Linked DNA regions of Daphnia pulex. The protein of the gene in region 2 purifies or fractionates together with the protein of the main gene of each other region. This does not show direct contact. Links are inferred from orthologs where the notes say so. Each region holds a gene or a part of one and is shown on either strand. Other genes may lie near its edges.

Region 1 (3,516 bases), on a different chromosome or scaffold from region 2:
TCGCGCTGTATGTTATAAACTCAACGAAGATAAGGGAAACGCAAGGCTAAAGGATCATTTTGGATTGTCGAACTTCGAAGTTGTTGGTAGAAAATTCTGGAACTCGACCAAAAAAAAACAAAAAAAAAAAAACACAACGATTCGTTACCGATCCTTTTCAATTGGGTCGATTAAATCACCGCTTATCGCTGATAGATCAACGGAGCGAAAAACTGATGCGCTCTGTCCAAGCCTGGAATTCAATATCGTTATAAAGACACGACGAGTGAAACGTTTTTTTTTTTTTTTTTTTTTTTACCTTTTAATCGACGAAAGATTGACGTTATCAATAACTTCGAAATGAACTGGCAAACTTTAGTTGGTGTAATGCTGTACTTAAGCTGTACTGTAAGAGAATAACGTTCTATCCGAATTAAAACCAAGAACATTTCACCTAAATTACAGTGCAACCTGAAAAATATTGGAAATTCACATCTCTGTTGTGATAGAAACAAATTTCTTTTGTGCTTTCATTCGTTTGTAAACCCGAAGTAAATGTCAGAAAAAGGCAAACTATTCTTTGATGAATGAAAACAATCTTTTAAAGATCGCTGTAAAATACCAAGCACACCATCAGGTTATATAATGCGTGTTACAAGTTACAAAAAATTTAATTTCTAATACGGTGGATTGATTTTAATTATTTATCTGCTATTTTGATAAAGATGGCATCAACAGAACAGATTTGTATTTTTTTTATAGAACAACTTGGAAAAGGAGAAAAATAATGATAAGGATGATTCAACGACCGGAATTTATTGTGGTTGAAATAGTTTAGATCCTTATTTCAGAAGAGACCATTTTAGCTGCTCCTTTGCCGATTGAAGCACCTAAAAAATCAGACGGAAATAATTAAAGAATTTATTGATCTTCTCCCTTAATTATAGTAATTTTTAAAATGTATATTGTTTAGTTTAGAAGTAGCTGCTGGAAAATGAAAATTTCAAACTAATTTCAATTTTAAATTTAATTAAATTGAAAAAAACCTTATTTAAATATCTGATTAAGTAGTTAAGTTATCAAACATACCTGGGCCACTGTCTGCTCCCCAATTGGAATGTCATCATTCCGAAGAGCTACTCTGTATGATATAGCAGTGGGATCTGATTCCAGAATAATCCTGCAACACAATAGTAAACTGGTAATAGTATCTTGATAAACTTGTCATGATTACATGTTTGAATGGAAACCATACCCAGAATCACATATTTCATCCAAAGCAAGCATAACCACATCAAGATTTTCCATTAGAGAACGCTTTTCCACATTCTTTCTAAGTATTTGGCTGATGGAATCATACAAGCAGTTTAAAACACTAACCAAGATCAACTAAATAAGGGGAAAAAAATTCCAATTTACTAATATTTTGTGAACAACTTGTGAGCATCTTTTACCTCATTTTCATGGCTACTTCCCATGACATAAAAATAAAGATCCACATTGCTTTTGTAGACACAAGTCATGTTTTCTAGCATAATGATTTCCGTGTTAGCTCGGTGTGTTTTGTTGAATAGGTTTTTTTCAAAAACCTTCTGTTCTTTTGCAGTGGGTAATGTGTTTGGGTCATAGTACTTTGCAAGAATACGTTTACCATCATTGTCAAGGATTGCAATTCCTTTAATTACATACAGAGAAGGTTCCTAAAGAAATTTTATAAAAATGTATCATTTTGTTGTTGGTCTGACACAGCTGATTAAAGAAAATGTAGTACTAGAAGTAGCTATATTACCAGGACATGGTTATCCATTTCTTTATACAATATGCAATACACCACAACACAAGAGCTAAGAGAAATAAGATGAACCGTTGTACAGACGGGTGAATGAAAATGTTCCGTTCGAGATGTTGATGAGTTGTTCTTACTTGACAACCGGTAGTCCTGTATGCTACGTTGGCAGTTTCTTTCGCGTAGTATCGCCATGGAGTACTTCAACTAGAGTACGATTCTTATGTCGGTAAGAAAATTATATTAACCATTAAAAAAATTAACTTATAAATTTTATAAATTTCCTATACTGATCACAAACCATTAACGAGATAAATCTATTTTTGTTTTAAAAGATACGGGAAAAAGCAAAAGGGCCAGTCGTTAGCGCCATCTAGGAACTGCTTGTTGAGTATAAAAGATAAACAAACTGGACAGTGCGGCAACGCAGGATAGCCAGGAAAGAAGAGAGGGGGAGAAGGACCTACCCAGACAAAGGAATAAGAGAGGGGGACTCAGTGCTGTTGACGATTGTGGCTAGGCGAGTAGCAATACAAAGCGTTCTTTGCAGCAAACAGGTTCACGTGTTAATTTCTATATCAACAGGTTATGGGCCCAGCTGTACGCACAGCTAACAGCTACTCTGTCTGAACAATTATTTTTTTTGTGTGTGTCCCCGGCTAACTGTTCCCAAGAAATTAGAAATTCTTTTCTGGAGTGATGGAGAAAGATGGCCGCCGCCATGTTGTATGGTGTCTGAATGGGAAAAACTACGCGTCTTGGAAATTTGGAATGAAGCTGGCGTTACAAAGTGTTGAGCTTTGGGAAGTCGTGAACGGGACTCAACGGCAACCTGCTGAAGTAAGTTTATTGATGATTTATTGTTTTCTTTATGTGTGTGATCCGTGCCTGACAACAACGCGATATGAGATGCCTATCTGTGGCGTGGTACCAACTATTAAATTGACAAACTTAGATCCCGGCGTGAGTGCTTAATCTCTGCCACTTGATTTTGTTTTTTGTGTGTTTGTGTTTGCTGGACATTTCTCTTTTTTTGTGTTTCTTTCTCAATCTGTTTGGTCACTCTGGCTAAATTCCATCATATGATGGTGGACAAGTGTGTGCTAGAGTTGCAAGCATCTAGGAGACAGCTGAGTGTTTTTCCACATCGAGATGATGTGAGGGAGATTCCACATTGAGATAATGTGAGAGGTATTCCACATCGAGATGATGTGAGGGAGATTCCACATTGAGATAATGTGAGAGGTATTCCACATCGAGATGATGTGAGGGAGATTCCACATTGAGATAATGTGAGGCTGCCATGGATATCACAAACCTAACCATCTTCTCGTTTTGTTACCACAATCAGAGACGCAATGCTGACCAGGTGATTGAAAATGCAGCTGATATAACCAACTGGAACAAGAGAAATACCACGGCAATGCAGAACATATTTGGCGCCATCAAAGAAGACCAATCAAGGATCCTGATGTCTTGTAGCACAGCCCAAGAGATGTGGATGAAATTGGAGACTGAGTATGAAGAAGATGCCGCAGACAATGCACCTCTATTGTGGACAAAGTTCTATGGATGCACATTTCGACCAAGCCAAAGTGTATCAAGCTTCCTGACTGAGTTGGAACAGATAGCATTCCGTCTGAAGAGCCTCAACATAGCTATTGATGATAATCAAATAATGGCAAAGATACTCATGTCGCTTCCTCCAGAGTTCCGTGTTTTTGCCTTTGCATGGGACAGCACGCCTGTTG
Region 2 (4,449 bases):
CTTGTGAAGACACTCTTGAGCCAACTCAAACTGACATTTGGTTGTGGCCAGATCAGCAAGTTGTTTCCACTTGTGCTCACTCTGAGCCTCGCAGGCTAGTTGGTAGGCCAGTTGCAATTGACCAAGCTGAAGTGACAGTTCGAAGCGATGCTCAGGATCAGCGGAGACTGCCAATGCCTGTTCTTTGAATCCCTGCTTCTCAAGAAAATGAGCCACTCGAGTGCGTTGCTCTTTGGGAACCGACGGGAGCACTCGGTCAGCTGTTTCGAAGTCTCGTCGCATAACTGCGGTTTGATATTCAAGCACCGAGAGTTGCAGGCCGTAGGAAACTACATTTAGCTCCTTGTCGCCCAAGTAAAGACTGTTGTCCTTGGGAATGTAGCCCAACAAGTACATCACTCTGGAAACAAAAGTTACACATGGGTTTAATAGTATCGGTTTGATTATTGCAAGAATGGTGAACTTTCAAGCCATACCTGTCGAGATGGGCCACTGTGACAATTTCCCCACCGACGTAATAATTTAATCGGTTGGCACTGTTGGTGTAGATAAAGCAATCGCCCACCCAAAGTCCCGTCTTAACACTTTCTTGCACTTCAGATAACATTTCGAACGCCGTCTAAACATTCAGAAAATATTTTTTAAAAATGTACTAACACTTTGTCTTTAAATAAAATCACCTCAATTCCGGCATCGTCGGTCAAGCCTTCTTTGGTTTCAAGGCTTTTGGCCACGGCATCAGCATCATAACGCAAAACAAAATAGCTGTCTTCGGTAGAAATGCAAACTAATTCACCATTTTCCGACCAATACACACCACGTGGCTGGATCTCAATCCGACGAATCAGTGTCAGATTGTCCCATTCGTAAAAAGCTAAGCTGTTGGTAGACCGGACCCCAAGCATTGCTCCACCAAAGATTCCTGTGAATGTAAAATTTTAATTAGAATCAATATTTCATTCTGTTTTCAATTACTATGCACAATATACCTTCGGCTCCCAGCTCTGGTTTGAATTGTTTCTTTTCCTTGAAGTTCTTAAAAACTTTGACCGACGTGGCACTTTCACGAACAGCATACTCGGATGAGTCCACTGCCCACACAAACTCCAAAGCTGAACCGAAAGCTTTGTTTCGCAGAGCCATAGCTGTATAGATGATGTACTCGCCGTCACCACAAACAACGACGAATCTATTATGAAACGGAATTTTATTATTTACTGGTTTCTATGCCATGAGCAGTTAGCAAACATACCTTCCGTTTGGATTGTGAGCGACAGTTTGAGGGTAAATCTCGCATGCACCCATATCCTTGATGGCAAGAGGAAGACGTTCTCCATCCTTGATCTCCGAGTCCGGCAGCGCTTTGAGATTGGCCTGCTGGATCTCTGAATGTTTGGCCCAGATAATTTTACCGCTTTGATCCATGGACATTGCAGGTTCCTCTCGGCCCAATTTAATCATGATAGATCCTTCATCGTAGCCCAAAGCGATGTTATTAGACCCAGGCAAACAACAAATGGTCCAGACACGCTCCAGCCCATAATTGAGAGTAGTCTCCAACCGGTAGGTATTTGAATGCCATACTCTACGATTTAGAGAAAATAGTATACTTGACTAAAAAATAAATAAAGAGAATAATAAATTTACCTGACTGTTCCATCTTCAGATCCAGTAAGCAGAATTGGAAGTTCGGGGTGGAAGGCAACAGAAGAAATATTCTGTGCATGCCCTTCCAAAGTTTGGACGCAGGTTTTATTCTGGTAATCCCAAATTTTAACAAGCCGATCATCTGCACCTGAAATTAAGTAAGGTTTGTCGCCGGCGTGGTAATAGTCGACGCAATTTACTCCTTTCTCGTGGCCTTCAAGAGTGAAATTCGGTGTGTTCGAGCCCAACTGCCAGACCTGAATGAGGGACCGTAATAAATTGATTTTAAGTTAAATTTCTGGCAAAATATTTTCGTAAAAACATACCTTGACTGTTCTATCAAGAGATGCAGTAGCAAATGTATTGTTATCTTTTGGATTGATGACAATCTGCATAACATAATGGGTGTGACCCTCAAAGACTTGTTGGCATGCCCAGTTCTTTTCCCAATTCCACAACTTAATTGACATATCATCTAAAATGAAGAAAGACTGTATGAACACTGAATCTGTTAGAAAAACAGATTATTTACATACCACTGCTAGTTAATAGAAAGGGTTGAGTGGGGTGCACAGCAATGCAACGAACATAGTCTGAATGAGCTTCAAATGCTGTCACACGATCAAGTGTGTTGTAGTTGAACACTCTGACCTGGAACAATTTAAAGAGGATTAAACTATATCTAATCTGAAATGGATAAGACATCAAGAAAACTATACCTGCATATCATCAGAACCACTAACAACCCAGTTTTTCCTTGGGACAAACTTGACAGCACGAACAGGCAGGTCACAAACCTACAAAAGGGCAAGTAATGGTCAAGTCATTAAGGAAGAATTCAATGAAGTACTCATTTTACCTCAAAAGATTTGATGATTTGTTGTGATTCATGGTTCCAAATATGCACATTTCCATTATACAAGGAGGCCAACATCCATGGCTCTGTTGGATGCAAGTCGACACTTTTCACGCGATCCGAACGGGCGGTAAGCCTTCTCTTGATATCTAGTTTCAGCGGCTATAAAAAATTATAACATGAAATTAGCTCAATAATTGTTATGATTTAAACAAGTAGTATTAATGTTAAACCATTTTGTTGTGAGGATTGTTGAATAGTTCTACTACGTGGCCGGTTGATCTGTCATCACTGGGGGAGGAGTGGAGCACAAATAAACATTGCCAGATAGAATCATTAGCCAAAATACTAAATTGCTTCTTTTCTATCAGCTTTTACTAATATTGTGTGACCTCGTCGGGAGTGTAATTTTCAAAACTATTATGAGCTATTTATTCTATACATTTTAAGCGTACCCTGTAATAATTCAAAATTTGTTAAACTATTTCGACAGTGGCAACATCACATCAGTTCAAAACAAACTGCCCCGCACAATTTATCAATGGAGACAGCCACGATCATTATTCGAGTCATCCGGTCGTTTGAATATCGAAACATTCGCAATGTGGTTTTAAAGAATGTACCACTTTCCCTTACAACTGAAGAGTTGAAAACTAGAATAATTCAAGAGTTGGGTGTTGCTCCGGGACTGCCACCACCTTTTCGAAAATACGAATATGACACTTTGAAGGTTATTTGAATAACATCTTACTGCTATTTTTATGTATTTGTTGTTTTTTCTATGGTTTTCTACAGATTGAGCACCATGCACATGGAGCTAAAACAAATGATCCTGTCATTAACCACGAGAATGATGAAGGTCTCATCCTTAAAGCGGAAAGGACACTCAAGGAGAGTGATGTAAGACATGAAACTGAAATTTCATTCTTCAAATATGATGATTACATGTCATACAAAAAAAATCCAGTTTTAAAGATTGGATCAAGATAATGAATTAACTGCTGAAAATTTTTGCAATTCATTTTTCTTGATTGCCTGAAACAAGCAATCCTCAGGGAATTACTTGGGGTCTTTTGATTCTTATTTTTAATTTTGATGATACAATTGTGAATAATACACCACATTTTTCCTTCATCCATATATTCTGGAATAATATGTTTCAAATTTTCAATCATCACCTAATTGTCAGATAAACACTGTTGCAAAAGTTATAGCAGACGAAATTAAGTTGCAAAGGTGAATTCAAAACTCGAAAGCGTCGGATGCTATGTTCTTGTTGGTGTTAAGAGAGTGGCCTACTTGTTGAAATAATGGATCAATAATTTCGAAACTATGAAATGACAATCCAACACGATGGACAGATTGAAAAAATGCTGGGAAGGAATTTTACAAGAAAGAGATAATTTTTGGAGTTCCTTCTTCACTAAGGTATTTTAATGTCAAATTCTCTTCAAAGAGCTATGCAGACCTGATTCTAACTCTTGCGATTTATACATACTACTCTAGTACCAAGAAGACAAAAAAGACGTGGATTTTCGATCTTATTTGGATAATAGTTCGACAAGGATTAATACTGTGCTGGAACTAGCAGCTGAAGAGAATAAAGAGTCTGCTGGGGCTTCGAAAGGCTCGGTTAAAAAAGTGATACAGCACTTTGAAGAACAGTCTAGTGAGTCATCAGAAACATATTCTAATGAAGTGGCTACTTCATTGAATGAAAACCAAGGTAAGATAACATTTTAAGAGTACAAAACAAAATTTAATATTGTGCCATATTATTATTCACAGAACAAGAAAACTTAAAATCTGATGAGCCTTCAGTAATATCAGTGAAGAAAACTGTGCCTACATTAGTTGTGAAAGCTATTCCAGCAAAGCAAAAAATTGATGCTCAATATTTGTTAACAAAGAACTCACCTAATTCAGTCAACAAATTAATTTCCGAG

Evidence for each region.
Region 1: the proteins of coatomer subunit beta'-like (region 2) and coatomer subunit zeta-1-like fractionate together in Homo sapiens (co-fractionation; 6 studies listed by BioGRID and IntAct, with this or other methods). This does not show direct contact. The link is inferred for Daphnia pulex from reciprocal best matches to the Homo sapiens genes COPB2 and COPZ1.

Annotation. Positions count from the first base shown.
Region 1 is NC_060024.1:1,294,538-1,298,053, forward strand, and holds coatomer subunit zeta-1-like, read right to left. Parts: upstream 2,151-3,516; 5' UTR 1,961-2,150; coding exon 1,769-1,960; intron 1,680-1,768; coding exon 1,434-1,679; intron 1,369-1,433; coding exon 1,235-1,368; intron 1,160-1,234; coding exon 1,069-1,159; intron 870-1,068; coding exon 822-869; 3' UTR 713-821; downstream 1-712. UniProt on the Homo sapiens protein: The coatomer is a cytosolic protein complex that binds to dilysine motifs and reversibly associates with Golgi non-clathrin-coated vesicles, which further mediate biosynthetic protein transport from the ER, via the Golgi up to the trans Golgi network.
Region 2 is NC_060017.1:7,292,093-7,296,541, reverse strand, and holds the start of coatomer subunit beta'-like, read right to left. Parts: upstream 2,905-4,449; 5' UTR 2,740-2,904; coding exon 2,737-2,739; intron 2,666-2,736; coding exon 2,507-2,665; intron 2,445-2,506; coding exon 2,367-2,444; intron 2,299-2,366; coding exon 2,184-2,298; intron 2,123-2,183; coding exon 1,974-2,122; intron 1,905-1,973; coding exon 1,648-1,904; intron 1,586-1,647; coding exon 1,253-1,585; intron 1,190-1,252; coding exon 990-1,189; intron 923-989; coding exon 681-922; intron 620-680; coding exon 477-619; intron 401-476; coding exon 1-400. Other genes in the region: uncharacterized protein LOC124197376, read left to right, coding at 3,857-3,931, 4,010-4,229, 4,292-4,449. UniProt on the Homo sapiens protein: The coatomer is a cytosolic protein complex that binds to dilysine motifs and reversibly associates with Golgi non-clathrin-coated vesicles, which further mediate biosynthetic protein transport from the ER, via the Golgi up to the trans Golgi network.